Linked DNA regions of Saccharomyces cerevisiae S288C. The protein of the gene in region 3 purifies or fractionates together with the protein of the main gene of each other region. This does not show direct contact. Each region holds a gene or a part of one and is shown on either strand. Other genes may lie near its edges.

The links.
Region 1: the proteins of NUP157 (region 3) and NUP84 purify together in Saccharomyces cerevisiae (affinity purification with mass spectrometry; 6 studies listed by BioGRID). This does not show direct contact.
Region 2: the proteins of NUP157 (region 3) and NSP1 purify together in Saccharomyces cerevisiae (affinity purification with mass spectrometry, with the first as the bait; 2 studies listed by BioGRID). This does not show direct contact.

The regions. Positions count from the first base shown.
Region 1 is NC_001136.10:249,760-260,810, reverse strand, and holds NUP84 (Nup84p), read right to left. Parts: upstream 9,246-11,051; coding exon 7,065-9,245; downstream 1-7,064. Other genes in the region: TRM3 (tRNA (guanosine(18)-2'-O)-methyltransferase), read right to left, coding at 1-1,896; ATG20 (Atg20p), read left to right, coding at 2,256-4,178; YDL114W (short-chain dehydrogenase/reductase), read right to left, coding at 4,281-5,207; IWR1 (Iwr1p), read left to right, coding at 5,685-5,766, 5,837-6,816; CYK3 (Cyk3p), read right to left, coding at 9,573-11,051.
Region 2 is NC_001142.9:360,302-371,587, reverse strand, and holds NSP1 (FG-nucleoporin NSP1), read right to left. Parts: upstream 5,805-11,286; coding exon 5,804-5,804; intron 5,686-5,803; coding exon 3,215-5,685; downstream 1-3,214. Other genes in the region: NUP192 (Nup192p), read left to right, coding at 1-2,840; MHP1 (Mhp1p), read right to left, coding at 6,143-10,339; YJL043W (uncharacterized protein), read right to left, coding at 10,685-11,286.
Region 3 is NC_001137.3:366,722-373,850, forward strand, and holds NUP157 (Nup157p), read right to left. Parts: upstream 5,293-7,129; coding exon 1,117-5,292; downstream 1-1,116. Other genes in the region: RTT105 (Rtt105p), read left to right, coding at 81-707; MAM1 (Mam1p), read left to right, coding at 5,605-6,513; RNA export factor GLE2, read right to left, coding at 6,727-7,129.

The DNA.
Region 1 (11,051 bases), on a different chromosome or scaffold from region 3:
AAGTAGCTGAGTTAGAAAAGTAACTGCCTTTGAAGTGTAAACGGGTATATCTTGCTTCGACTTCGCAACTTCAATTAAAAAATCGGGAGTAATATCAATATCCTTGAAATCGAAGATGATAGATGCTAAGAGGTCAAAAATAGTATCCTTTCCGATGTTTGTCGTCAAGTTTTCTTTCGCTTGCAAATCGTCAAAGTGAGAAACGGCAAGATCCCTATAATCTTCAAAAAGAGGCTCAACATATTTGTATGTCCCTCCCTTTAACTTAATGTGTGAAACTAATGTAAACAATAATTCAGATGCGGAGACAGATGGATCAATGTACAGTAAGAACTTCAAGTAAATTGTTTGGATTGTAGTTTCGAGAACCTCTTCTTCGGCTGCAAAATCGTACAATTTCCTGATCAGACTCAAATGGTCAGAGTTGATTGTTTTCTGTTTGTTATTCTGGAAGAAAACTAAGATACCGTAGGACAAGTATATCCTAGAAGGGTCAAAAGAGGTCCCTTTTTCCACCAATAATTTCAAAATTTCAAATAATATATCTGATATGCCTTCTGTTGTTTGGGAAAGTAAGTTATTGACAAATAATGAAAGTTTTTCACCATGGGGACAACTGACACCTTTTACATCAAAATAATGAGCGGACATTGCAGCTGGAAGAAGAGTTTTTGTCAATAATGGCAAGTTTGAAGAGAATGCTGACATATTTGTAATCGAGAACATTAACGTCATCATGTATTTTCTGACACTCTCCATTGATGATTTCAATCCCGTAGAAAGCAAGATAAGGCCCCAACTATGGTGTAAATGCTCGTTATCAAAAATTTTTATTATATCTTGTTTGGCCGCTTGTATTTGATTCAATGATGTGTCCAGAGCAATCATTTCATATAAGGTGGTGAATTTCTTCCAGCTACCCAGCATCTCGATATTTGCTAGATCATTGCATTTATAAAATGTTGTTTGCAATGTTATACCATGAGATGACAGTTTTTGAATTGTTAATTTAAGAATTGAGAGTGCCAATTTTCTGTGTTCGTGCACATCATTATCCAGCTCTGTTTGAATGTGCCTCCAATAAGCATCGGTCTTTATATAAGTAATAAGTTCAGGAGACAACTCTGCTGCTAAAAGGAATCTTAGGAGAAAAGATAAACTGTTCTTTTGCTTCCAAGCTTGTTGGGAGCCTTCAGCGTACAATTGTTTGATAAATGTCCAAATGAGCTTATCAAAGTTACTATCGGTATTGCAGCATTTCGATAAATATTTGATATGCCATCTCATTAACTTGGAGCAGGAATCAGCAATCTCTTCCGAATTACAGCCTAACAATGGAACAATGATAAAATCTAGGCATTTGGACGATATACCATTCTTACATTCGTCAAATAAATATACAACTTCTAAGTAGTGAAGCAGGCTAAGGATATCTAAGTGCAGATTTTCATGCTTGATATTAGCGTTTTGTTCCTCAGCAAAAGAATCGAAAAATGGTTGTACAATCTTTTTTCCAAAGTTGTCATTGAAGAGATGTTTATAGTTTTCGCTAATGATGTCATTTAACCGGTAGCTCATCCACACCTGAAATTTATGCCATACACTGGGTAAACAACATAGTAATTGTGCAGAAGTTCTTAGCGCCTTGTTCATTTCAGCCCTCGAAGAGCGAAACATTTCCCTGGCTTCACCGTCTATACTAGCATACGCAATGACCTGCTCAGTAATTTTTTCAAAGATTGGTGTTTCAATGTTGCTGTCCGTCGTTATATCCAGTGGCGAAGTTTCAATCAACTCCAGCACCTCTTCTAAGCTGTCATTCTGAATCAAGTCTGATATAAGCTTTAGTTGCTCTTCGCGTGGTAAATATTTGCAGATGAGAGCACCTCCAACCATTTTGCTGGTAAAAAAAAGGTATAGAGTTTGTAACGTTCGTTAAACAATTCTTTTCACCGGATTTTAATAAGGCTTGGCTTATTTGCTTACTAGCAATTATATAGTTACAATAGTGCTGTTTCAATCTTGCTCATCGCCATGGTGAAACTTTTCGAAAAACACTTGAATTTTCATTCACGTGATCTACATTCCCTTACCCGACAACTCACCCATTGTGCCCCCTTTAAGATATGGCTATTGAGTAAGCCAATATTTATCGATTTACAGCAAGTCATCTCCAAAATGAAGAGATGACTAGCTCGAATACTGGTGGTGCAATTGAACATACCATCTAGAAAAGTTGTCTTCTACAGCACACAATGTCAGACTTAAATGATGTCCAAGAAAATGCTAAATTGAATTCGGAAACTCGGAATACAGGAAAGGCTGAACCACCTCATGGGACAACTGAGTATGTGGCAGAGGCAGAAATTTCTAAGAATGGAGTTGGATCGCCAAAAAAGAGCCCAAAAAAGGGTAAGGTTGGAAAGGGGGACAATAACAAAGTAGAAACTGAGTTAGTACACACAGCCCTGTTAGAAAAAGACAACCCATTCATGGAGGAGGGGCCAACAGGATTCACAAAATCAGCTTTATTAGAAATACCCGGTATGAGAAGCCATAACCTAAAGAACCCGAATGAAGATTACGAGGATGACTCTGAGGGATTATTGCCTTTAAACCAAGAATCGAATGCAGAAACATGTAGAACAAGTCTTAGTGGAAGTATTAACTCCATGAACGGAGAGACCTCTGCGTCAGAAGAACCTTCTGTAAGTAATAGAAAGAAGTCCGCTAGGATACACATACTTGAAGCGAAAAGAGTTTCCGAAGGTCAAGGAAGAGCCTACATCGCCTATGTTATTCAGTTTGAAAATTCTACCGTTCAGAGACGTTACAGCGATTTCGAGAGTTTGAGAAGTATCTTGATAAGATTGTTTCCTATGACGTTGATACCGCCGATTCCAGAAAAGCAGTCAATAAAGAATTATGGTAAGTCAATAACTGGTTCGAGTTCAAAGTATTTGCTGCCCTCAGAAGGTTCTGGTTCAGTAGATCTATCATTGTCTGTGATACATGCGTCGGTCAATAATAGTGATGAAAAGTTAATACGGCATAGGATAAGAATGCTCACTGAGTTCTTGAACAAACTTTTGACGAACGAAGAAATCACAAAAACATCTATAATTACCGATTTTTTGGATCCTAATAACCATAATTGGCATGAATTTGTTAACAGTTCGTCCACTTTTTCATCTTTACCGAAGAGCATCCTCCAGTGTAATCCACTAGATCCCACTAACACCACTAGAATTCATGCCATGTTACCAATACCGGGCTCCTCGTCACAGTTATTGTTGAATAAGGAGTCCAACGACAAAAAAATGGATAAGGAAAGAAGTAAGTCGTTTACTAATATTGAACAGGATTACAAGCAATATGAGAACTTGTTAGATAACGGGATTTATAAGTATAATAGACGAACCACGAAGACTTATCACGATTTGAAATCGGATTACAATGAAATCGGTGAGGTATTTGCACAGTTTGCCCATGAACAGGCTCAAGTTGGGGAATTGGCCGAACAGCTTTCTTACTTAAGCAATGCCTTTTCGGGGTCCTCGATTTCTTTAGAAAAATTAGTTGGAAGACTATACTACAATATAAATGAGCCTTTAAATGAATCTGTTCATATGGCAACTTCTGCAAGAGAATTGATCAAATACAGAAAATTGAAATACCTGCAAAATGAAATGATTAAAAAGTCTCTGAATTCCAAAAGAGCACAGTTGGAGAAGCTGGAAGCGCAAAACAATGAATATAAGGATGTTGACAAAATAATTGACAACGAAATGTCTAAAAGTCATACTATTAATCTGGAACGCCCTAATAATAATACAGGTAGCGGTGGGAAATCATATGGTGGCAAACTATTCAATGGATTTAACAAATTGGCATCAATGGTAAAAGATTCTGTGAAGTATCAAGAAACAGATCCGCATACCGCAAGTATCAATTTGAAGAAAGAAATTGAACAACTGTCTGAATCATTGGAAGTTACTGAGAATGATTTGGAGGTCATTTCAAAAGTCATCAAAAATGACCAGCTACCTAAATTTTCTAAAGAAAGGGAAGTAGATTTATCAGAAATTTTAAAGCATTATTCCAGATATATGAGAAATTATGCCCGTCAAAATTTAGAAATTTGGAAAGAAGTCAAAAGACATCAAGATTTTGCATAGTATTATGAGCATTTTTTTTTAGCGTTATAGCATACTTGATATATATATATATAAACAACGTGAAGATCAAATAACGTCAAATGTATTAAATAGACTAAAATATTATGCACTTCTCTTCGGATTTATTGCTCGCGGGCTGGTTGACGTTACATGGTCCATTCCACTGAAATGTTTTAAGAGATGCCTATATGGCCAACTCAAAGTTTTGAAAAAGGGAACTAGGTTCACATAATATGGGGCATTTAGTGTTTGCAGATGATTATGCTCCATCGCAGAGATTATCGCTAGTGCCAGTTGGGAAGGTATGATGTCAGGAGCCAATAACTTAGATGGTGTAGGGACATCAATAAACATATTAGTTTTGATTTTTCCCGGGCACACCAGTAGTGTTTTTATTCCAGTTTTATTACATTCCGTGGACAAACTTCTGAAATGCCTGCTCATACACTTGTGAAAACCAATCATTGCTCCTTTTGATGCACCATACGATGTCAGCCTTGCAGGAGTCAGTTCTCCGAGGACTGAAGCAATGTTAATTATAAAGCCTTCCCTATTGTCTATCATATCTTCTGCAAATGTACTGATGATTCGGTAAGCACCTATTAAGTTTATGTCGATCAATTGTTCTACCTCCTTGTTTGTCATATGTTCTAACTTTTTGATGTGAGCAACACCAGCATTATTTATAATTATATTAATGTTGCCATGATCTCTTTCAATAGCTTTTTTCAAATTTTTAATTTCATCTAGACTTGTTATGTCGCATTGATAGTAGAAAATGTTATTATATTCTACCTGAGCAAAAGTAGGAAATGATTGAATATCTGCCACAATAACTTTATTAATTCTTCTGGAAAGTTCCTTTGCAAGTTCAAATCCGAGTCCACTAGAACCACCGGTTATTAGTGCAGTTGCATTTTTAGAAAGGATGGAAGGGTTGTAGCTGGGCAGACTTAGGATGACTGATGGAAAATCCTTGAGGTGTTTTGTAGTTCCACTCGCTCTATTTATTTTATTCTTGCGTACCATAATTAATAATATTTCTTACCCATAAAACTATGTTAAATATGTCACTGAATCTCTATTGAGGTGTCCTTTTGATGATGCGGTTTCAGATATGAGAAATGTTCATTCAAGAAGTGTCACAAATTCTGTTCCTCTGCTGACGCCCGCTACATATTGACGTTCAAAAATATAGAAGAAAAAGGCAGTAAAGCGTTAACATAAGAAAACTAAAGAGCAAGTCTGATTTGGCACTACCACGCTTCCAACAGAAGTAATTGTTGCTTCAAATAAGTTCGCAGCATGTGGATTCAAGTCCACAGATGCGATATTTAGGAGCCCAATCAGATAATATTGATTCCGGGTTATCTCTTGTTTGTGTCGGCACAGGGGATTTAAATTGTGTAATGCTCAAGACAAGTTATTGATGAGAACAAGAGATGGTATATAAAACTGCTCTCTGAGGTATAGCTTTTGTTGAGGTAGGCATACAAGATTTCGGGAATGAGCACTATTAGTACCACAACGGCACCTGAGTTTATCAGAGTAAAGAGAAGAAGGGATGAGGATTCTGTGCAGGCATTATGTATGTGTTGTTATTCTACCGATATAACAAAAATGCGTTTGACTAACTAAGTTCATCTGGGACAATTCAGTAATTGATGAGGGGAAAAGAGTGAAGAAGCAGAAGTTCATATTTAAATTATCAAAGACTGTGAGCTCTGAAAGCTATCAATCCGAGCAAGAGTCTTCTACGCCACTCTTAAAACTGGCTCATGAAGATCATCGACATTTTGTATTGGAACAAAGAAAAAAAAGTCGTAGAGACTCAGATGATGAAAAATCACAACAGCGGCTTGCAGCAGAAGGAAGTACTGTAGATGACGATGGGTTACCGCCAGAGATCAATCAAATGGTGAATGACTATTTAAAGTTGAATAAAGGTGTAGAAAAGACAGAAAGAAAAAAACCAAGTAGGAAATATTTTACTGGGGATTCTGCAAAAATTGCATCACTACCCAGTTTAGATTACGTTTTTGACATCTACCATTTGGAGAAAATTCATGACGATGAGGTTGCTAGATATAACAACGAGAAAAATATAGGGTTTGTGAAAATTATTGAGCATATAGATTTGGCTCTTGATGAAGAAAGTGATCCCAATGAAGCCCGTTCAGACGATGAGGATTCTAATGACGAAAACTATTACCAAAATGATTATCCGGAGGATGAAGATGATGATAGATCTATTCTATTTGGTAGCGAAGGAGAGGATATAGCTGCATTGGGTGAAGAGATTGTTATAGGGGTTAATAAGAGCAGGTTTTCCTCTTGGAATGACGATAAAATTCAGGGATCTAATGGGTACCACGATGTGGAGGAAGAGTACGGGGATCTTTTTAACAGGCTTGGAGGAAAAAGTGATGTCTTGAAATCCATAAATTCCTCGAATTTCATTGACTTGGATGGCCAAGAAGGTGAAATAGAGATAAGTGATAACGAAGATGATTCTGATGAAGGAGATGATATTGAATACCCTAGAAATGAATTTTTTCCGACGGATGTTGATGACCCATTGGCGCATCATAGGGACAGAATTTTTCATCAGCTACAGAAAAAAATTAATAGAAGCTAAATTTGCCGTCAGAAACTGTTCAATGTATGTAAGTAACTGCATCTGTAATTTTATCTTTAGATAGTAGAAAATTCATGTTTAACCGCTTTTTCACTTCATGAACTTTTTTTTCTCCGGTGTGGAAACACAAAGATTCAAAGCAAAACTATAAAAAATCACGTCAATTACTTCTGAAATAGATAGAAGAAATGCATAAAATTATTGCTGTTTACTTAAAATATAAACTTATTCTGCAATACATTAATTGATCAGTTCGAAAGGGTTGCTGTGCGAGCAACGAGATCCAGATACTCTTTTAACTTTCCACTAGATTGGAATAATAAATAAATCTTGTCGTTCTCATTAGCGACCAATGAGGTAAATGCCAGGGCTTCCGAAATAAATTTTGGGATCTTTAACAACTTTGCGGCTTCCACTAACTTTTTATGCAATTCCATCAGTAGAAATGGAGTATATAGGGCTCTAATCTCATACAGGATTTCATAATCTGCCGAATCCGCGAAATTAGAGGAAGTTAAATCTACTAAAAATGTCTTGATCAATTCAAATGTATCCTTTGAAAAACCTTGCAATTTCTCTATTAAAGTAGGAATGTTCGATTCAGAGCTTAACAAGCTAACGGATTTTTGCCATTCTTCATATTCTCTTATGCCCTTTATCAAATGCTCATATTGAGTTATTTCTTCCAAAAACTGATCTTCATTTTCATCCTTTGATATGTTATCGGCTATTTTCTCTAATTCATAATTCTTGCATATTTCTCCAATATTATTTCTCTCCATAAATTGTTCGAGAGCCTTTACGCGGCCATTTAACAAAAATCTCCTCGATAAGGCAATGATAGAGTGGACAGCGTCCACATAAAGCTTCCCTTCAATAAGCCATTCCACGCCATATATTAAGTGCATATCAATGTTGTTTACATCGAAAGATATGGAAATTTCGTTAGATGGTGAATATTCTTGTTCGGTTTCATCGAAAACACGCTGTGTGGTTCTTCTCAAAATATTTGAGGCAGGTAATCTTAGAAAGTTTATTGTCTCAATTTGCTTTTTCCTTACTTGGGGGTCCTCTAAAGAAGACAATATGAAAGAGCATGCCTCTAAGCAGTCTGACTCATTCAGGAAAGTAGCATATATTGGAATATTTTCATAAAGGCCTTGCAATTTCAGAAGACTGATATACGTAGTAATGAGCTTGGACTTATCAACCTCTTCAACAGAACCTGGATTAATTATATCAAGGCAAATGGCTAAATGTGTAACTATCCTCAGAAGATAAGGCTTATCTATAATATCGTTACTAGCTTCGGTTCCCTTGACGACATCAAGCAACATTTCCACGGATGAATGAATAACTGATGGCAAAGAATCTAGTATGACAGATGCCATTAAAACTCTGATTGGATGTTCACTTTCTGAGGGATGCCTTGAAGCCACTCTATTAAGCACCTCTTGTACAGTTAGCGCGTGTGAAGGTAATGGTAAAATCAGTTCATCAGTACCTACTTGATTGTTTTCCAAAAGATAATTTTCAATTTCAGTTTGTAAAATTTGATTTAAGTGTATGTGCAGATCAGACTCCCAATCCGAATATTGCAGAACTTCTTGGTTGGGAATAGCGCCACTCAAATAGCTGTATATCGCCCTTTCATAAGGGTCCAAACCGGCCTGCTGCGAAAGGCTGTAAACTGTTCTTCTCCACAAAGAGTGCTTCTTGATACCTTGCTGGGTATTGAATTCGTTTGCAATTTGCGTATCAATGACAGGGTTTAAGTACTCTTGTATCCCACACAGGATCATACAAATTGAAATATTGTCGGAAAGTTTAGCTTCTTCTAATGCTTCATCAATCGCACCGGCCAAAATTAGTTCGTAAATGTATTTGAAGAAAATATGATCTTCTTCTTTATCTTTAACATCGAGGACATTAGTGTTTTCTCGTAAAGGAAAATCCAAGTCACAGCTTTTCAATCCTCCAGAAGTAATACTATTTAACCATTTTGAAGTTGGTACATTTTTGGGTCTTTCCATCACATATGTATTTTCTTTGAGCCAAACCATCACTATCCATATTTGATAAAGTTGTTTGTTGTCTTGCATTAATTTCTTTTCAAATAAACCCCTCGAGTTATAAGGATGAAGTTCCATTTCATCTAGATCAAGATCAGCGTTCCTGAAAACCAGTAACAGTTCTACTAAATGCCAAAATCTAGCTTCCAGTTCCCAATCCTTAGAAGATATGACGTTACTTTCATCTCCAGAATTAGCCAAATCTAACGCAAGCTGCCCCGCGGCTGAGCGAAACTCTCTTATGATGTTAAACGGGTCAATGGGGTTTTGCTCATTATTTTGTTCAATTTTGAATTCCTTTAAAGTGTCTGAGAACTTTGTGAAGCGTTCTGTTTGATAAGTAGGGGATAATTCCATTTGAAATGGCTATGTATTTTACTTCGAAGTAGCACTCAATTGGTTTTCAGGTTGAATTAGCTGATATACCTCGTTTTCGGACTTGCCTAAACAATTCAAATGTCGTATGTATTTGAGCATTTGGTCTAATTTTTCATATTTTCTTCACCGAAAACATCACTAAATACGAAAAAGTTGGACCAGCATAGCTTTTATGAATGCAATGGATAAATCATTAAATAATAAGTACTATATAGCCATATATGAGTTATGAAATTCACCTTCCTGAGTAGAATGTATGTTGAATGATACAGATTATAGCGCTGTAAAAAAATTTGTGAAAAACGTTTATACGCACAACCATTCAGCAAAAACGGACCACCCAATACCAGAGTCAGCGATCACTAAAGCGCTCCAGACGCCGGGCTCTTTGATTTTAATGCTTCCTTTCCAGGTACCATAAGGAAAGTGGGGATCGCTCTTGACTAGCTCATGAACTCTTCCTGAGGGTGATTTTATTGCCATTGGTTGTTTCCTATTTTGGTTCGGCCCTTCATCACTGCTGTATACAATACCATCGGAGGGACTTTGAATAACTTCGAATGAGTACTCATTACCAACAAATAGATATCTACTCTGTGGCTCGACAATGTATAGCTCAATCTTCTGAATGCTTTCTGAGGGTATCTTGATCACAAATTCGTATTTCATGTTACTTCCCTTATGTGTTAATGGGACCATCATGGACAGTGGATGGATATTGGCAATACTCGTTTGCGTACCTCTTACACCTGAATGTATGTACAGTGAACCTTTGTTCACATTGGGTGGTAGGACTGCTTTGATTAGAGCAATTCTTCTACCAGACTCGGCTTTCTGCTTTTTGATTTGGGTCAGTGCGAGTTCCATATTCCTGTACGCAGATGAAGCTTCTTCATTATCCGTTGGAATAACCACGGATGCAAAGACTTCAACGTCATTGGGAATTTCTAAGGAGCATTCGTAGATCTCAGAATCTTCCAAAAATGATAGTGCAGTACTAAATTTGTATAACTTTAACTCATTTTTGAAAAAAGATGGAAAAACTAATGGCAGATACAATGCAGATAATTGATCGATACTAGGAACAATATGCTGCTCAAATTCCCTAGGCGGTATATGTGTGTATATCATTTCTAATGGTGCCATCAAAAAGTAGCTATTTTCTGCTTTCTTGATCTTTCTGTTATTTACAAATTCATGAATTGGGTTGGTTACATTTCCTAAAATAACGTCAATAAATCTCCATTCTTTGTTAACCAGTATTCTCAACCAGCAGTGGTTATACTTAAACTCCCAATTTATAGCACTCGGTGTTTTCAGGAAACCTATAACAATTTCACAAGTGATTCCCAATGAGTTTGCTAATTTCTTGAAAAGCCATGTCAATTCATATGGCGTACAATGCTTTCTGTATAGTATTTTCTCTAAATTTTGGGGTTCCGCAGAAAAATCTGACGTTCCATTATCATCAGTCAGAGCAAACATCTCTGTGCAAAAAATGTATATGCCTCTTAACTTTTCCAGAACAGTTGAGTATCTTGCTGAAAAAGTTGTTTGAGCCCAACTGTCTAATGTCATAGTTCCGTCTCTAATACACCGTTTCCAAGTCATCTTATCAATGTATTCTATGTTTAATTCGGCCAGTTCCACATCGACCAAACCGGGCTTTGTATTACCTTTGACTTCATTGGTATTTAGCCCGTTATAAATCGAATCTTGAGGATGTAAGATCAAGTCGCGATTTTCTTCGAGAGCTCTCATATACCTCGGATGTTTGTCATATTT
Region 2 (11,286 bases), on a different chromosome or scaffold from region 3:
CAAGATTAGGTCAGGGATATAGGAAGGTAGGTATATGGCCATATTTTGACTACATTTTCAACGACATTTTAGCGCACGTGGATCAAATTGTTGATATCAGAAATAAAAGAGCCGTCCAGCTTCCTATTTTGAAAATTATCTATACGGGCTTATGCTCTTTTGATTACAGTGTAATTTTAAATTCTATTCCTGCAGCTGCGAATTTGGATGCTTTGGTGGATTGCGAAAATTTCTTCAATTACGTTCAAGAATGCCCAGCTATCCCCATATTCAACTATATTTTCACGGAAAAGATTTACAAAAGTATATTTAATGTAGTTGATGTTGGTGTTGATCAATTGTCCATAGAGTTAGAAGGTGGCAAAAATCAGGCTGAATTGTTGCAGTTAGCTGTGAAAATTATCAATAAAGTATTGGATTATCAGGAGACATACGTGGAAGAATTATTTCCAATTGTTAAGAAGCATGGCAAGACGGATTATTTCTTGCCAAAGAATTATTCTCTTCACGGATTACGTTCATTTTACGATGCAATTTTTTTCAATATTCCACTTGTTGCACACTTGGGTTTATACGTCGGGGTCGATGATCAAATTTTAGCCACAAATTCACTGCGTATTTTGGCGAAACTTTCAGAACGCTCTAATGGCTCCGTTGCGTCTTTGTCTAAGAGAAATAAGTTGTTAACAATATTCGATTCCGTAGATGAATCAGCCAGAATAAAGGATGCATTTATTACACAATTGGAAAGCTCAATAACCGACGCTGGTGTCCTTGCTTTGAAGTTAGAACTATTAGATTTCTTAACATCAAATCTTTCTAATTATAGTCGAACGATGACTATTTCTCATCTGTTATTAGGTTTCCAGGTCTCAAACGTTATATCCCTGGGACCTAACCTAGCAACATTTATATCTTCCGGAACCTCATTACTTGATTCCCTCATAAGCGTGTTGGAAGCTTCATTGAACAGCATTACTAAGGACAATATCGATTATGCACCTATGAGATTGGCTACAGCAGCACTGGAAATTATTCTCAAACTATGTCGTAATCCGTTAACATCTGGTCTACTATATTCATACCTAATCAAAGAAAACTTTTTTGAGAGAATAATGATCCTCGATCCACAAGTGACAAGGTTCACGACATGGAACGGCTCTCCTTTTGACAATTCTACAGAGGAAAAATGTAAGAACTTCATCGAGAGCGAATCCGTTGGTGCATTTCTGTCATTCTTAGCCTACAGGAATTATTGGACACAATATTTGGGTCTGTTCATTCATAAAATTTCATTTTCGGGCACGAAATCAGAGGTTTTAACATATGTGAATTACTTGATATCAAATACAATGTATTCGGTAAGGTTGTTTTCTTTCTTGGATCCATTAAACTATGGCAATATCTGCGAACCAAAAGAGACGTTATCAATTTTCACCAATGTTCCTTTAAATTTGGAACAAGTCACTCTTAACAAGTATTGCTCCGGCAATATCTATGACTTTCACAAAATGGAAAACCTTATGCGCCTGATTAAAAGAGTCCGTGCTGAAAGCTTACATTCTAATTCCTTCAGTCTCACTGTGTCAAAAGAACAATTTTTGAAGGATGCAGATGTCGAGTGTATAAAAGCAAAAAGCCATTTCACGAATATTATATCAAGAAACAAAGCATTGGAGTTGAACCTATCTGTGCTGCACTCTTGGGTACAGTTGGTGCAAATCATTGTTACTGATGGAAAATTGGAACCATCAACAAGATCAAACTTTATTCTGGAGGTTTTTGGTACAATTATTCCGAAGATTAGTGATTATATTGAGTTTAATATAACTTTTTCAGAAGAATTGGTTTCTCTCGCCGTTTTCCTATTTGATATATATAACCGCGATCGTAAGTTGATTACCGACAAAGGCACGGTAGACGGCAGGCTATATCAGTTGTTCAAGACATGTATTCAGGGTATAAACTCCCCACTCTCCTCTGTGGCATTAAGGTCCGATTTCTATATATTAGCAAACCATTATTTGAGTAGAGTTCTAAGCGACCAAGTAGGGTCCGAAAAGGTTCTGCAGGATTTGAGACTAGGAAGTAAAAAATTGGTAGAGATCATATGGAACGATGTTGTTTATGGCGAGGGAACTAGTAGGGTTACAGGTATATTACTATTGGATTCACTTATTCAACTGGCTAATAGAAGTAAAGAGAATTTTATATTGGATTCACTGATGAAAACTACAAGACTGCTCTTAATAATACGTTCGCTGAAAAATACAGATGCTTTGTTAAATTCTACTACAGAGCACATAAACATTGATGATTTGTTATATGAATTGACAGCTTTTAAAGCCACTGTATTCTTTTTAATACGTGTTGCCGAAACTAGAGGTGGAGCTAGCGCTTTAATTGAAAATAATCTATTCCGAATAATCGCGGAATTGTCATTTTTAAAAGTTGATCCTGATTTGGGTCTAGACCTTATGTTTGACGAAGTCTACGTTCAGAATTCCAAATTCTTAAAGGTTAACGTCACCTTGGATAATCCGCTACTAGTTGACAAAGATGCTAATGGTGTTTCCTTGTTTGAGTTAATCGTTCCTATATTCCAATTGATATCAGCTGTTTTAGTGAGCATGGGGAGCTCAAACAAAGCTGTTGTTCAAACGGTAAAGGGTTTACTGAATACGTATAAGAGGCTAGTGATCGGAATATTCAAAAGAGATCTTTTGAGGGAAAAAGAAGATAAGAAAAATTCGTCGGATCCTAATAACCAAAGTTTAAACGAAATGGTGAAGCTAATTGTGATGTTATGCACATTAACAGGATATCAAAATAACGATTAAGTCATTCATTATCACTTTTAAGAATTACTTTTAGGAATCGATTTCATTTTGCAAAATATTTGGTTGTGTACTAAGTACTAAGAAGAAACTATCACAAAAAGTGGCTTTTAGTTTCATACACTACAGAAGCCTTTCTTTGGTTCTGATTTGGTGCGTATTTACTGTCTAATGAAATAAAAATCCAGGTCGTTTACAGATCGGCACGACACATTACAAAAACTTCTTGAAAAAGGAAAAAAACAAGTATGATTGAGGTGTTAAATTAATTGCAGGTTCTGAACCATCGCGTACATTTTGATACCTATATATAATTATTTAATATAGCACATCCTATGTCAAATAAGTGTAGAATAGAGGGAATTTTTTCTTTTAGATCATTTCTTTATCGAGTTGATTTGTTTTTCCAGAGAGGTGGAGTTATCGTCTAGTGACCTTAAAGCGTCGAAATGTGAATTCAAGATTTTGATTAGTTGAATATTTTCGTCTTCATTGTTTATATCGATGTTAGTGGTTTTGTTGAATGTATTACTAACATTGTTGATTTCTACTATTAGAGAAGAAAGATTGGATGACAACGAGTTTAAATTTTCGTCCAAAGTCTGGGCTGTCTTATAGGCCTGTTGTCTTTTTTGGTCATTATTGTTGGCCGCAGCACCTGAACTTGTAGACACAACATCGGACAGAAGTGCCTCTGTCTTGGTTTCAAAATTGTCTAAGAAGTTTTCTAATTCATCCTGTTGCCTCTCGATATATTGTAGAGATTGATCTATTTTGTTTTGACTATGTTCCGCCATCACAGCATCTGAGTATAACTGACTAATTTGTTCACCTCCTTTCACTAGTACCTGATCCCAACTATTAATTTTTTTGGTATACTGTTCAAAATGAGAGGCCGATTCTGTTAGTTGGTTAGTCCATTTCGTTACTAAATCGTCCAGTGTTTTATTGTCGAGAGAAACTGGCTTCAATTCTACTGGTTTAGAATTTAATTTCAAGCTATCACTTGATTTGACATCTGCGGTTGACTTCCCCGTAGAAGATTCCTCTGTTTTCTTCTCATTATCTTTTTGAGCACCAAAAGTAAACGCTGGCTTGCTCGTATCACTGGATTTCTGTTCTTCGGGTTTAGCACCAAAGGAAATGGCAGCCTTCGCCCCATCGCCTTCCTCCTTTCCTGTAGGCTTAGAACCAAATGAAAAGGCTGATTTTGATTCATCACTTTCTTTCTTTTCGTTAGCCTTTGCTCCGAATGAGAAGGCAGGCTTGGAGACTTCATCATTCTTCTTTTCATCGGGTTTAGCACCGAATGAGAAGGCAGGCTTCGAAGAACCACTGTCCTTTTTTTCATTCGATTTAGTACCAAATGAGAAGGCAGGCTTCGAAGAATCACTGTCCTTTTTTTCATCCGATTTAGCACCAAATGAGAAGGCAGGTTTAGAGGCATCGCCATCCTTTTTCTCATCGGACTTTGCTCCAAAAGAGAATGCCGGCTTGGAAGTTTCATTGTTATTCTTTTCCGCGGGCTTGGCACCAAAGGAAAATGCTGGCTTAGCCGTTCCATCTTGCTTGTCTTCATTTGATTTGGCACCAAATGAGAAAGCTGGTTTTGAGGAATTATCATCCTTCTTTTCTTCTGGCTTAGCGCCGAATGAGAAGGCAGGCTTAGAAGTAGCACTAGCTTTATTTTCATCCGGTTTAGCGCCAAAAGAGAAGGCAGGTTTAGAGGCATCACCATCCTTTTTCTCATCAGACTTTGCTCCAAAAGAGAATGCCGGCTTGGAGGTTTCATTGTTATTCTTCTCCGCGGGCTTGGCACCAAAGGAAAATGCTGGCTTAGCCGTTCCATCTTGCTTGTCTTCATTTGATTTGGCACCAAATGAGAAAGCTGGTTTTGAGGAATTATCATCCTTCTTTTCTTCTGGCTTAGCACCGAATGAGAAGGCAGGCTTAGAAGTAGCACCAGCTTTATTTTCATCCGATTTAGCACCAAACGAAAAACTTGGGGTTGTGTTAGTTGTCTTATTGTCGGATGTTGCAGTACCAAAAGAGAGGGCTGGTTTTGCTGGTTCATTAGTTGTAGGTTCGGGTTGCGAAGCTCCAGCTGGGTTAGCACCAGCTGATCCTGAACCAAATGAAAGGGAAGGCTTTGCAGCCTCGTTAACCGTTTTGTTTCCACCTAGTTGTGAACCAAAGGAAAATCCTGTAGTGGGAGCTTGAGCGTCTGTCTTATTACCGACACTTGAATTAAAGGAGAAAGCAGGCTTGTCTGGTTCTGTTTTTTTATCGTCGTTAGTGGTTGCACCAAAGGAAAAGGCTGGCTTATTCGCATTTGCGGTAGCGCCAAATAAGTTATTACTTGTGTTAGCATTACCGGTCGAGCTAGGAGTTGTGTTATTGCCGCCGCCAAAATTCAAACCGCCGAACGCAGGTTTTGTCGTATTGCTATTAGTACTGTTATTGAATAAGGATGAAGAACCAAATGTATTTCCTCCAGCAGTTCCATTGCTCTTCGTTTGTTGAGCACTGGAAGATCCAAAAAGGGATGTCCCTGCACTATTACTACCAAATGTATTAGTCGTAGAATTGTTGCTGCCAAAAACGTTACTTGTGGGGTTACTGTTACCGAATGCAGTATTACCAGTGTTATTGCTACCAAATGCAGGTGTGATTGAAGAGTTTGCATTGTTCGTGTTATTTGGCGCAGAATTGTTGAAACCAAATGTTGATTGACCTGTTCCGAAGGCGCCCGCACCAGTAGAGGAATTCTGATTGGTGGTGTTAGAGTTATTGTTGGCAGTCCCGAACGAAAAGGGCGTTTTGTTTTGTTGAGGTGTATTGAAGTTCACTAATATTAAAAATCATGTAGTTTACAGGTTCGCAGGTTTTCGTTAGTAAATAGGAAGAAATTGTATAGGAGATAAAATTTTGATCGGAAGACAACCGTCCAATGGAAAGAAACATACTTTTTCAAAACGATCAGAGCTTATTACTGTTGGACTGTGCGTTGCAATGGCTCTCCAATAGCGTCTTCAGGTATCACAATCGACACGTCAAATATCACATCTGAGTGGTGCTAACACCATTTATTATTTTCTATAAAAGTTTGAAGAAAAAAACTCATCGGACCCGTCCGGGTTGTCTCAAGTTCTACAAAAGCATTATGCTTACATTAATAATAATAAAAAATACAAAATACTTAAAATAATCATACATGAAAGGATACGTAAATGTCTGAGGGCTCCTTATTATATTTTCGAAACCCAATACAAAAAAGAGATTAAAAAATTAAGAGAAATCCCTTATTATTTAGTACTACTGTTCCGCGCATCCTGGATTTTGTCTAGCACATCATCATAAGCAGCGTCAATGGCATTTTCCTCTGCATTGTTCATAAATTTATCAAATCCAGGCGCATCGGTCGGAGGAATATGAGCATTATCGTTCGTTCTAGAAGTATTGGAGCCTGTGGATATCGGATCAGTGGTAGGGGACGCATTAGCACTTGAATCATTGGATTGGGAGGACTGTTGTTCATCCTTTGTTCTGAACGCGGTCTCTTCTTGGTTTCCCTGTTTTTTGAAAATATGATGCAAGTGGTACCCTTGGCTATGCAGTTCATCAATGACGCCAAGGATAGTAGAGACGTCATTCTTCAACAGAAATTCCTTTATCTGGTCACTATCTAAGGATTGTGCGGCACGATTTAAGATTTCTTTGTCCACTGGCAAATCGCCACCACCGACAAGCTTTTCGTGTTCTAGTTCTCTTTTAATGATAGAGTATTTGTTTTTGATATCAACTTCATCTCGAAATTGTTGATCATTTGCTGGTACGTCTTCGTGATTTACGTTGGAGTCGTCACCTTCTCTGAATTCGACGGCATCTTCTGCATCTGGGCTTGACTTTTCGACTATTGCACTACCGAATGGCATAAGCGCAATATGATCTGAATTTTGTAATATAGATGAGCTTAGTAACATTCTTTGACAGCTTTCGGAATTGGGTTGTGCTTGATTTCCCCCTTTCCGACTTTTTGAGACGGCCTCTGGTGATTTCAAAGTGTTGTTATGTCTTTGTTTCAGCAGGTCACAGCCTCTTTCCAAACTTGCCTCTATGAAGCATAATCTAATCAAAGCTTCCTTACCTTCCAAATTTAATTGTCCATTCAGTTTTAAATCAAAAAGATCATGAACCACTTTACTAATCTTGATACGTGCCAACGCGATTTTGGCCATGAAATTCTCAACCATTTTGTTGTAATGTTCGGAATTATCCGCTTTTTCAGTTAATAAAAGTGATAGTTGGTCCTGTAGGCTTGAAAATTGGCTATCTTTGATATCTTTATCGTCACTATTAACCCTTTTCAACTCCCCTTGAATATTTCTTAAAGCATATAATGAAATTTTTTCCTTAATGTTCTCTGGCATATACACATAGTCCACGTCCAAAGTCATCAAAGATGAACTTTTCCTCACCGCCTCTGCTAGAGCTTTAGACGATGCCAAATCCAATTCCGTTCCTAACATGGAAAAATAATTCAATCTTGAACACATGGGTAATATTTCGGCCAGCATCACTACACTCGTGGAACTTAAATTATTGTAGTCGATATGCAGACGGACAAGATTAACAAAAACAGGTAAAAAATCAATCAGCGTCGGAACACAGTGGGGGAAGATGGCAGGATTGTTCGATATATCCAAGAATTTTAAATTTTCCAAATAACATAAAACGCTTATCAGTTTTAAGACCTCGTTATTCTCAAAAGTGTCGTGTTCGTTCACTCTCAAATTTGTCCCATTTAGAGATAAAAATTTGAAGACGTTTTTCTCGTTAGCTTTTTGTATTTTGCCTAAAACAGCATCGGTGAAAGAGGAAAGTTTGCCATTCAAATCGTTAAAACCAACGTCTAGACCTGTCACTTTTGATTGAACCATCCACTTGGCCAAATCATCACATTGGCTCTTAGATAATCCATTATACGCGAGGCCCAATCTCTCGGTTGCTATACAAGCAACGAGGATGAAGTTTTTGAATTGTGCAGAATTCATCTTGGCCCCGGAAATGACAATTTCCTCCAAACCGCCCATGAGGGCAATAGAAGCTGTCAAAAGGTCCCAGTTCATGTCGGATCTATTTTCCAAGTTGCATTGCATTCTCAGAATTTTTGACTTCAAAGAAGATTTAGAAGGCTTTTGTACATTTGTCTTGATGGAAGGGACCATTGTCAAATCAATAGAGTGCAGAGACTTGGCCTTGGAGACAAAATAACACAGAACTTTCCATCCTTCTTCATCCAAGGGGGTGTTTCTTAGAGAAAGTTTTTGGAAATGCTGTTTGTAAACCAGCGAACTCAAAATTATTCTAAGCATTTGCACGGTTAATTGTACACCGTCCAACGAAAGACATAAAACGGGAGCAATGCTCAAGAAATCGCTGAACGACCAAATTTCCACCATAGAAGGTCTTGGGTTACGTAACTGTAAGATGGGGATAGGGTCCGTCGAGCCCTTTTTCAATTGCTTCAATGTGGCTGGTATGGGCAGAATTTCTCGCAAGTGACAACAACGGGTATACACAATGTCGTGAGGTATCTTCAAAGAAGGTGGGGGAAGAATTTCTCCTTCATCATCTGCGTTCGTACCGTTGGTATCACTGGACACCATGGAGGCCAAAGAGGATGTGGAAGCACCCCTTCTTGAAATCATTGGCTTATCGATGGTCAAATGGCTGGCGGTCTTACTGACAGTGACTTCTTCTTCATTGTTGGTCACGATACGTTTCAATTCGTTAGGTGCCTCTTTGGCTCTGGCCTCTGCAGCAGCTTCTGCAGCGGCCATAACGATGTTTCTCCTTTGAGAATTGTTATCCTCCTCGTCGTGTGCCTCCACTTCGTTCTGCTTTTGAGGGGCCATCTCCTCTTTACTCTTGGCATTTGCGTCGTCTTCCTCGGGATTTAATAGTTTTAATTGCCCGGTCCCCCCAACGACAACACCCAAACTAGTCGATTCCATGATTTTTTTGCGTTCTTGCGGAGTCAACCTATGAATGACAACAGATCCATTAGGCTTCACTTCCACTTCACCTTTACGAGGGTTTTTACTGCATATTTGTTGTGGAGGATCGTTGAAATAGGTGTTCGTAGCAAAGGAGACGTGTTTCAAGGGCCGTATATTCTCGAGGCCGGGGACGGTGGTTATCTTTGAAGGGTCGAACTCCATTGAACTAGAAGACCATAGGGACGTCGATGAGGTGTCTGGATTATTGACGTTTGCAGAAAGGGAGGAGGCATTGGTGCTGTTGTTGTTGTTGTTCCCATAAGAGGTAACTTTCCTTAAAAAGGCGCCGAATTTATGAGAAGAAGGTGTCTGATTATTATTCTGCGCTGACGAGGAAACGTCCGAATTGGAATCCACTGTGTCTACTATCGATGCGTTGCTTGGATGCTTCTTCCTGAAGGCGGAAGGCAATTTGGGTGCGTCGGGATGCGGCGGAATGGGTCTTCCCTTAGCGTCAAATTTCTGGTGAGCAAGTGATTTGGCAGGTTGTGGTTTGTCGTTATGTAATGAGAACGAAGCGCGTCTATTTTTCTTGGTTGTGGGAGACGCAGATGACTTAATAAAGTTCCCTTCTTTGAAGGCGGCTAATTTGTAATCCTTAGATTTGTAGTAGCGCAAGAAATCCATTAATCTAGGATCAGGTCGAGAGCCGCCATAGTTATGATCGTCTGCGGGGGAAGTTCCGTCGACTTTACCCTCTTCTGGTGAGTGGTATGTGCGCATACGGCCATGGTAGTAGCTTTGCGGATGATTTTCGTAATACACTTCTGATTCCGTCTTGGATCTTGTTAACGGTACCACAGTATCGTTATAAGAGGGTGGAGCATTGTACTGCAAAGGCGGTGGTGATTCCGCAGATATGGTAGCCGTTCTTTCTCTTCTTATGGCCGCGCCACGGTCCACGTGAGTCGGAGAGGGTGAGCGCTCTTTCCTTTCTCGTTCCTTCTCCTGTTGTTCCTGATCCTTCTTCCTATGGCCAAACAGACTCTTAAAGAATCCGACCTTCTTAGGTGCAGGAGCATCTTCCGTGTGATGGTGGTGGCGGTGGTGGTGATGATGTCCGGAGTCAGCCTCAACGTTAGACAGGTTAGTCTCCACCACTGACTTCGACCTACCCCTAGGGGGAGGAATGTTTGTGGGAACGGATGTAGACCCAGCGTTAGCACGCTGATTATCCATTAGCAAGCTCGCAGCTACGGAGTGACGGCGTCCCTTATCGTTTGAAGAAAGAATGCTGCTGGAAGAGTCTACAGACGTTTCGAAAACGGGCGGGCGAGCAGTGTCCATCTGGATGTCAGGAGCCACACTGTTGGCCTTGGACTCGGATTTCCCTGGTCTGGAGCTCTTGCTGGTGGAGGCACTGGGCCTGACCAACCATCCAACGTCGATGCAGGGGATTCGGTGCTCCTTAAGCAACTTTTGCGTGTCCTTGGAGTCCATGGAGCAGTTGTAGGGCTATCTTGTATATTTTGCGTATTTAAGTGCGATTATGCGAGTGCCTGAGTGGTGTATATGTATGTACATATGAACGCTTTAAGGCAGAAGCTTGTTATATAAAGGAGAATGAGAACGCAGCATTTGCTTGTACAGCCAGATGCTTCGAGTGAAACACCGTTGCGTAAATTGAACCTGAACGTTCTAGATGCGAAAACAATACAATAAGCCAATAACGTAAACAGTCGCGCAGCACGAGGAAGGGGGGAGAGCAAGCTGTCCAGGACGGGTGAACATCGAACGGGGCCGACGGCCTAAAAGAGAAGCTGATGAAAAAAAAAAAGGCCCGGGCTACCATTGGAACAACGGGTCCGTAGTAGGTAGCGCACCCAACAGTGCCTCCAACTGCACCACACACTTGCGCTGTCGCCCTTTTGATGCTTCGTCTTCGTCCTCTATCTGCATGTTGTAATCAGACCCGTAGCGCGACCAAATGTCGTAGTCGTCAACATGCGGTGTGGCGTACACCAACTCCGGTGACGACGTCCAAAGTAGCTGCAGCGGCATTTCGCTCGCGTGCCTGATCTCACAATCATGCAGCACAGACCTTAGGTCCCTGGTGCTCATTGCAGTTTCGCCAATAAACAGCATGGGGATGATGATAGTCCGTGACTGTTGCCAGGGAAATCTCCACTTGGGTCGGTTGGTACAGCCTGTGTGTTTTACCGTTGATGGGCCCATGTAGTGGGACCAGTCATCCAAGAGCCTAGCATAGCTTTGACGTAGCGGCGCCGTCGCGGCGCCGCTTTCAAAGCTAGCCGGGTTGGCGATCTCGATGGGTATTATGGTGTTGCATTTCTGCAGGAGGTCGATACAGTCGGTGATCTGGTGTAGGGTCATCGCCATAGCAAACAATTTCTGCGTCAGTCCGGCAGTACGGCCACTAGCAAAGT
Region 3 (7,129 bases):
AATAAGAAAGTCATCGCCAAACAACACGACTAATTGACCATTAAAAGGAACAAAATACAGTCAAAGAGTTTAGCTCGGAAATGTACAGCAATCATAATTTAAATTCGGATGACTGTTGCTTCGATTGGAATGAAGAGAAGGCCGCAGAACTACAGCGTACAGGTGTTTCTTTTGACCGGAGTTTAACACCTCAATCTTTAAGAACATCTACACGTAGACTATCAGAAGAGAACAAACAACAAAGTGGCACTATGCACATTGACACTTCCCCTTCTGTGGTTTCAGATATAATATCAAGTAGACGAGATCGTTCACAGGATTTTTTTGGGCCTCATTCTTCATCCCCTATTGCCCCTTCAGAACGACAACGAGCGGATCAGAGATCACGGTTGGAGTCCATGAGATTAACTAGACGTCGAGACAAAATGACCAAAGTACGCGGTGGCCTAGAAAAGATGGAAGAAATGATCATGCAAGGTGAACACCTTAGAGAAATGCAAAGGCTAAAGCAGGAAGCACAAAAGAACGCTCTACCCTCTGACATGGCTGAATATATGGAATGGCAAAACAACGAGGATTTGGAAGACGATGAGTTGCTTGCCTTTATTGAAAAACAGGAAACTTATAAAAATGAATTAGAACACTTTTTGAACAATGCTAATAAAAATGTTTATGAGAACAACTCGTATCCGAACTCTCATACGTGATGGCATCATTGCTATTACAGAAATAGCCCTAGCCTGTCATATTTAACTGAGCTGTTGAGTATGGGCATCTTTCCGCATGCGCTAACTACGGAGCTGGCTCTTCCCCTTCTATTAATCCTTCTGGCAGGAAGCGAAAGCGACTGATGTCGTTTCTACGTTTCTATGTATATTCTATCGCGTTTAAGTGTGTATATTTTGAGCTGCTCAAGTGAAGGGAACGTATTCAGAATAACTAGATTCTCTGCCATACGATCAACTAACTGTTTACCATATACAGTCTCAGTTCGCTACGGTTAGCGTACCGTAAAACAGCAGTTTACATTCACTATATAAAGGATGACGTAAGAATTTGCCTACGTATTAAAGAAAACTTCACAATCAAACTGCTAAAATATACAAATAATTCCGTTCATTTCAGGCCATGATGACGATCCTTCACATAATCTTGAACGGGATCGGTATTCGGATCATATTTCTCCAATTTTTTGATTTGTTCTGGCGCAATTGAACCGCGTAAATCTGAATCACTTTGGTACCAATCTTTGATCAACCATACCATTTCTTTTTTTGCCAATTCGACATTTCCTTCAGAGTTTTCTATGATACGACTTAGAATGTAATAGAGTTTTAAATGAGAAACTCCGGCAAGCAAGAACATTGAACATACAGATCCATCAGCAGCTGAACTTTTATCAATGAATGATTCTAATATTTTATTCATTAAGAAATGTACAGGGAAAACAACGTCCGTATCGCGTGTTGTTTTACCAATTCGAATTAGTGTGTTGGATATCGAGGAAAGAAAGGATTCTTGGCCTACACTTCCCACGTCAGGCGATGGAGCATTTTTCATGCTATCGAGCAATCGATTCCACTCTCCTTGAATGACTTTTTCATCTTTGAATTGAGATACTTTGAAAATTCTTAGTTTTATTTCGTAGTAATCTAATGGGTCTGCACAATCATTAAAGAGATCTGATAATGGGAGCACCCTTCCATTTAGTTTAAGTGTTAGTTGCTTTCTATAATCTTCGTCAATCCTTGTTTCATTCCTTACCAAATTAAGTAGGTCATCCTGAATGGAAGCTATGTCGAAAAGTTCGTGGATGTTCTCAGATAACTGGACCAGTGCCGGCTTTTGGTCGAATGACGTTGAGCTATCACAAAGACCGTTTGCTCTTGCTAGGCATTCGATTCTTTCACTTAATTTTAAGTCAAAATCAGAACTAGCTAGAGCATATAAAACATCAGCTGCTTCAAGAAAATGTTCTTCTTTGAATAAGTAGAACCACAACAGATTACTAATTTCTAGAGATTTTTCTGCTCTTTCTTTCAAGTACGGCAAAACAAATTGAGAATCCAAACGTAATAAGTAGTCTTGTCTTTTATTTGCGACAAGCCAATCATAAAAGCAATAATGGAAGAACCTGTTATTGCTATTCATTATCACTGAGTAAACTCTTTTCTTCAGTGACGAAGCTGGTGAAAAAATAGATATATTTGCAATTGAAGGGGATTGTTCGATAGATGTATAGTCATCCACGCTTTTGACAATCTCAAAAATCAAAGTGTACACATTTATGCGTTTGTCATAAAAAACTTTTCTTGGATCGGCAGTATTACAACCTCTAGACACATACTCTTGTGCTTGGTTTCCTTTATCAATTTTATCTGCAAATCTAAGTAGAAATCCAACAGTCTTAGGCTGGTAATTAAGTTTTACCATGATATCCACCACACGTCTCAATTCACATAATTCTATATTCTCGGCACACCTTTCATAAAGGTCAATTGCGGTATCTAAATGGTTCCTTGATATTTTAGAATCTATCATTTCAAACTTCTGTGCTGCTTCTAAATGCTCTCCTGCCCTGTAACACAAAATGTCTGCACTATGACAAAAAGATCCAAAGCGTTCCTTTAAAACGTTCACAATATAATCTGCCGATGTGCCGCTTGCAATATTAGCGTTTACAACTTCTATTAAAATCTCTTTTATTAATTGTTTGGTTTTTGCGTTAGGGGTAAACAAATCATGGAACTTAAGATCAAAAAAATACTCACGTGTCTTGGAGTCATAAACTCCCCCTGCACCCATCAATGTATTTAGCAAAGATTTGAAAGCATCAATATCTTCGTAGAAGACATTTATAAGGGAAAGCGCATCCTTAATAGAATTTATTAAGAGGATAAGAGCATTCATAGCAATAGACTCAGCATCGGATGCAGTTATAGCATTGCTACCTTTCGGAGGCACAAATGAAACGAAGGAAGGACGGTGGATGTTGAAGAAATCTGCCAAAACAGATATCGATGATAAATAATACTCAACCTGTGGCCTAGTTATAGAAATACCAAAAGCATCCATTTTTTCCGTTTTGGAAGCCCTTTTAAAAACAAAGACCCTCTCTTCCCATATTTGGCTAAATAATCTTGTAATTAATAACGCAGAACCATAAAACCTGGGAGATAGTACTATACCATCACATTCACCAGATTTATCGAATAAATTTTGTGAGATTGGCGGCACGCTGCCACTTTCTCTAGAACTTTTCGGTTTTATTTCAACTACCCCAGGTATACCGGCAGAGAAGAAGGCCAGGGCACTTGATTTAATATGCTCTGACTTATTAAACTTACAAGCTAAATAAAGTGCCGTAGAGCAAGCCTCAGATAAACCATAACTGTGAATAAATGGCAAAGGATTTTCAATCAAGCTTTCGAACACTTCGTCGGGCGTGCGATAGCAATAAATTTCTAAGGCATTGCTTGTTAAAACGGCAACTTTTAATGGTTCTGCACTGTATTGTGAGGCAAACACATTGGCGTAACCTTGGGGAGTAGAAGTGTAATTAAAAGATCTTGTTAAGGGAACAATCTCTTTAATTTCATCTGTCGTATCGAGTAGTGCGGTATTCTCTACATATTTACCATAATTCTTTAATATACCGTAATCTGGAGCACTAACGTAAAGTTTGTGTTCCTCTTTATTTTCCAGCAAAGCTTTATTTGTAATACCTTTAGATAGTTCTCCGGAATTAGCTCTTTTCCTCACGCACGTAAAGTATATACCTGGTGATATTATCGTACTAGCGCAAGTGGTATTGATATAAGTTGAACTAGCTTTTTGTGTTGAAAGTGGGCCTGTATCATGTGTGTTTAAGGGGTGATGACCGATTATGAAAGATTTATTTTGCTCGAGGGAGCTAGATATACTGGTAGGAGGAAACTTTACAGAGTCTAATTTTAATGAGCCAATCGATCTCCTAGAAATGGAACCTTTGAAATACAAGCGTACCCCAGTAGTAGTTATAACAGCTAAGAATAAATCATTGTTCTCACACATAGAGATAGAAACAATTTTGGCAATCTTGAAAGCTCGATTACTGAGTAGAGGTGAATTTTTTACACCCAATGCATTCATTCCACGCCTGATATGAGCAGCATCAATGAGGACCGGTCCTACTAGCCCGTTACTAGTAATTAGGTAAGATCTGACAATAGATTTCGTTGATAGAGTATGTAAAACGCCTCTTGACTGGTCAACTTCGAGCTGTGATATAGTTTCTTCTTCGGTACCTGCATCCCCTTCTAGTACTTTTTGTATCAACTTTCCTCCGGGTATGCTAGGTATTAGTTTTGTAGGTAGTAAATTTGCTAAGTTTGACTTTGTCAAACATATTTTGTTACTCTTGCTATTGAATAGGTTCTCCGAGCAGTTATATTGTAATTCCCACACGTTGACACCATCAGTCGCACCAGTGAAAAATATTTGTCCAGTCCTTTCGTAGCTTATTATGTTAGAAACGTTGAACCCAGTTACATTTACTTTTAATCCTGTGTTAAAGATATTCAACTCATGAGTACGGTCATTAAATGATATTGTCAAAATATAGATATCAAAAAGAGTGGCGACAATCAATAAATTTTCAACAGAAGAAACAAAAGTGTTTGGGCTAGGCTTAACTAGTTTCACTTTTAAAATGGTGTGCTCGATTTCATCGATACAGTGGTATTCTGAACTATTATTGATATTCCACAAGATCAATTTATTATCAGAGGTTATCCAACAATAGTTCAGTTCGAGAAAAATACCCATATCACTCTTTATTTCGGTATTTGAAACTTGTGATAAAACTTCATCTGGTATATTTGTCACTTGTTGTCTTTGGAAGGGGGTAAATGCACCTAATCCACCGACTTCATCTGAGAAATTATAATCCAAACCTTTACTATAATAGTCTGGATTATCTAGTATTGGCGTATTTCTGTCCCTAAAGCTCAAATCCTGGACAAATTCACTAGCCAACTGCAACGGTTCAGAGGAAGTCAACCCGCTTATCTTGACGTGTGTAGTTACGTCACGAAGTTCTGATTCAATAGTATTTCCAGCCTCGCCATACTTGTTTAATACATCTTTCCTGGTTTTTCTTTCGCTTAGGAAGGAACGGCTCGACAGGTTGGGCTTACCGTTGTTTTGGTCATCTCTTGGCCGATTCCTTAAGCGATTTCCTCCTAAGGAAGCCGAAGCCGTAAACGTTTCGCGATCGTAATCAATCCTCTTTTTTAGTGGAGTTGAATACATCACAATTGAAATCCGAGCTGTAGTTTTTGTGAAATGTTTCTCCTACAAACAGATTTTATTCTTAATTTCTTCTATTGATTTATAAAGCCATTCAAAATTCAGATGGAAATTATTCATTAGAAATCTTTCCTCTCCAAAGTCGGGTAATACTTTCTATTTTGTGTCACTAATTTTATAATACTTTAATCAGCAAATACTATAATAATAGAATAATCTCCAGACGTTCATGGAAAGTTCAACAATGGAAACATAGCCATATTTATTTACTAGCAAAAGCATTTTCAGAGAATTTTTTTGTTTCCTGAAAAAAAAATGAGGGAAAAAAGAACAATTTCAAATAAAGACACAAACTATCTCAAATTCCCAAATAAACTCCAAAGATATTCCCGATTCTTGAGCAGGAAGATATCCAATACCAGCCCAGAAAAGCAACCGAAGAAGAACATAAAAGAACACTGTTTATCGAGTTATCATAAAGAACACTCGGTAAAACCAAAGCAAAACTCCGGTAATGTTGCAGCAAAAGAAGACAAAGATACGCAGCATTTACAAAATAATGTCGCTAATGAAGAAGCAACGGAATGTCTAACAAGAAGTAATTTGAAAAAGTTACAAGAGAAAATTTTCGATAGAGAACTTAATGATATTGCCTGTGATCATTGTCTTTGTAGCACAGAAAATAGAAGAGATATCAAGTATTCACGACTTTGGTTCCTTTTTGAGTTGGAAATGAGTGAAAACTGGAATGAAAATCTCCGCCTTAGTTGCTATAATAAATATGTGTATTCCGCAATTGATGAGTCGTGGAAAATGGAGAATATTCTACTTAAAGAACAAGAGAAGCATTATGAATATTTTCCAATAGGACAATTACTGATACCCAATAATATTGACTACACTAATAAACAGAAAAGGAAGGAAAACATTGAAGACTTAACAATTGAAATTGATAGTATTATAGAGACAAACCATCAAAAGAAAAGATTTTTGCCGCAAAGTGTCCTGATAAAAAGGGAGGATGAAATTGCATTTGACGACTTTCATTTGGATGCACGAAAGGTTCTAAACGATTTGAGCGCCACTTCTGAAAATCCATTCAGCTCTTCACCAAATACAAAAAAAATTAAATCAAAGGGAAAAACCTTGGAAGTGGTTCCCAAAAAGAAAAACAAAAAGATCATAGGTGCTTTGGAAAGAAAGCTACATATAGATGAAAATTAATGAAAGTATTGTCTGCACATTACCACCGGTTAAAACGGCGACTCAGTGTAACCTGTAAAACTTTTTATCAATTTTGAATAGGTATAGAGAGATTTTCCTATTCTCTCCAAAAGAACCTGTATCATTAAAAAATATATATCTTTTACATATTGCAAATATAAAAAATTACAAAAGTAATGTGGTTGCGCACGGAAGCTATCCGAAGAACGAATTTCACCTTTTCTTTTTCTCTTTAACCTCTTCATCAGTTGTGGCATGTAGCCTAATGACGTTTGGATAGTCGGGTCTGTTGCCCATATGGCCTTGATGCCAATCATAACTTAGAGCGTACGCAAATACGCTACCATTCCTATTGAAGCTGCATACAGGAATAGATGCTTGCAAAGTAGGATAGCCTTTCAATCTATGCCTTTGATTCTTATCCCAAAAATTGAAGGTACCATCACCACCAGCCGTAACAAAAGTACCATATAATGGATGAAATGCAATGCTATTTACAGGATACACTAGAGATTGACCATTGGAGCCAGGTGCCCTATTAGGATTGGTTTGACGATGGCATTTAAATGAAAAGCCTGATTTTTTCTGCATACCATCATCGATATACCTTATGGAG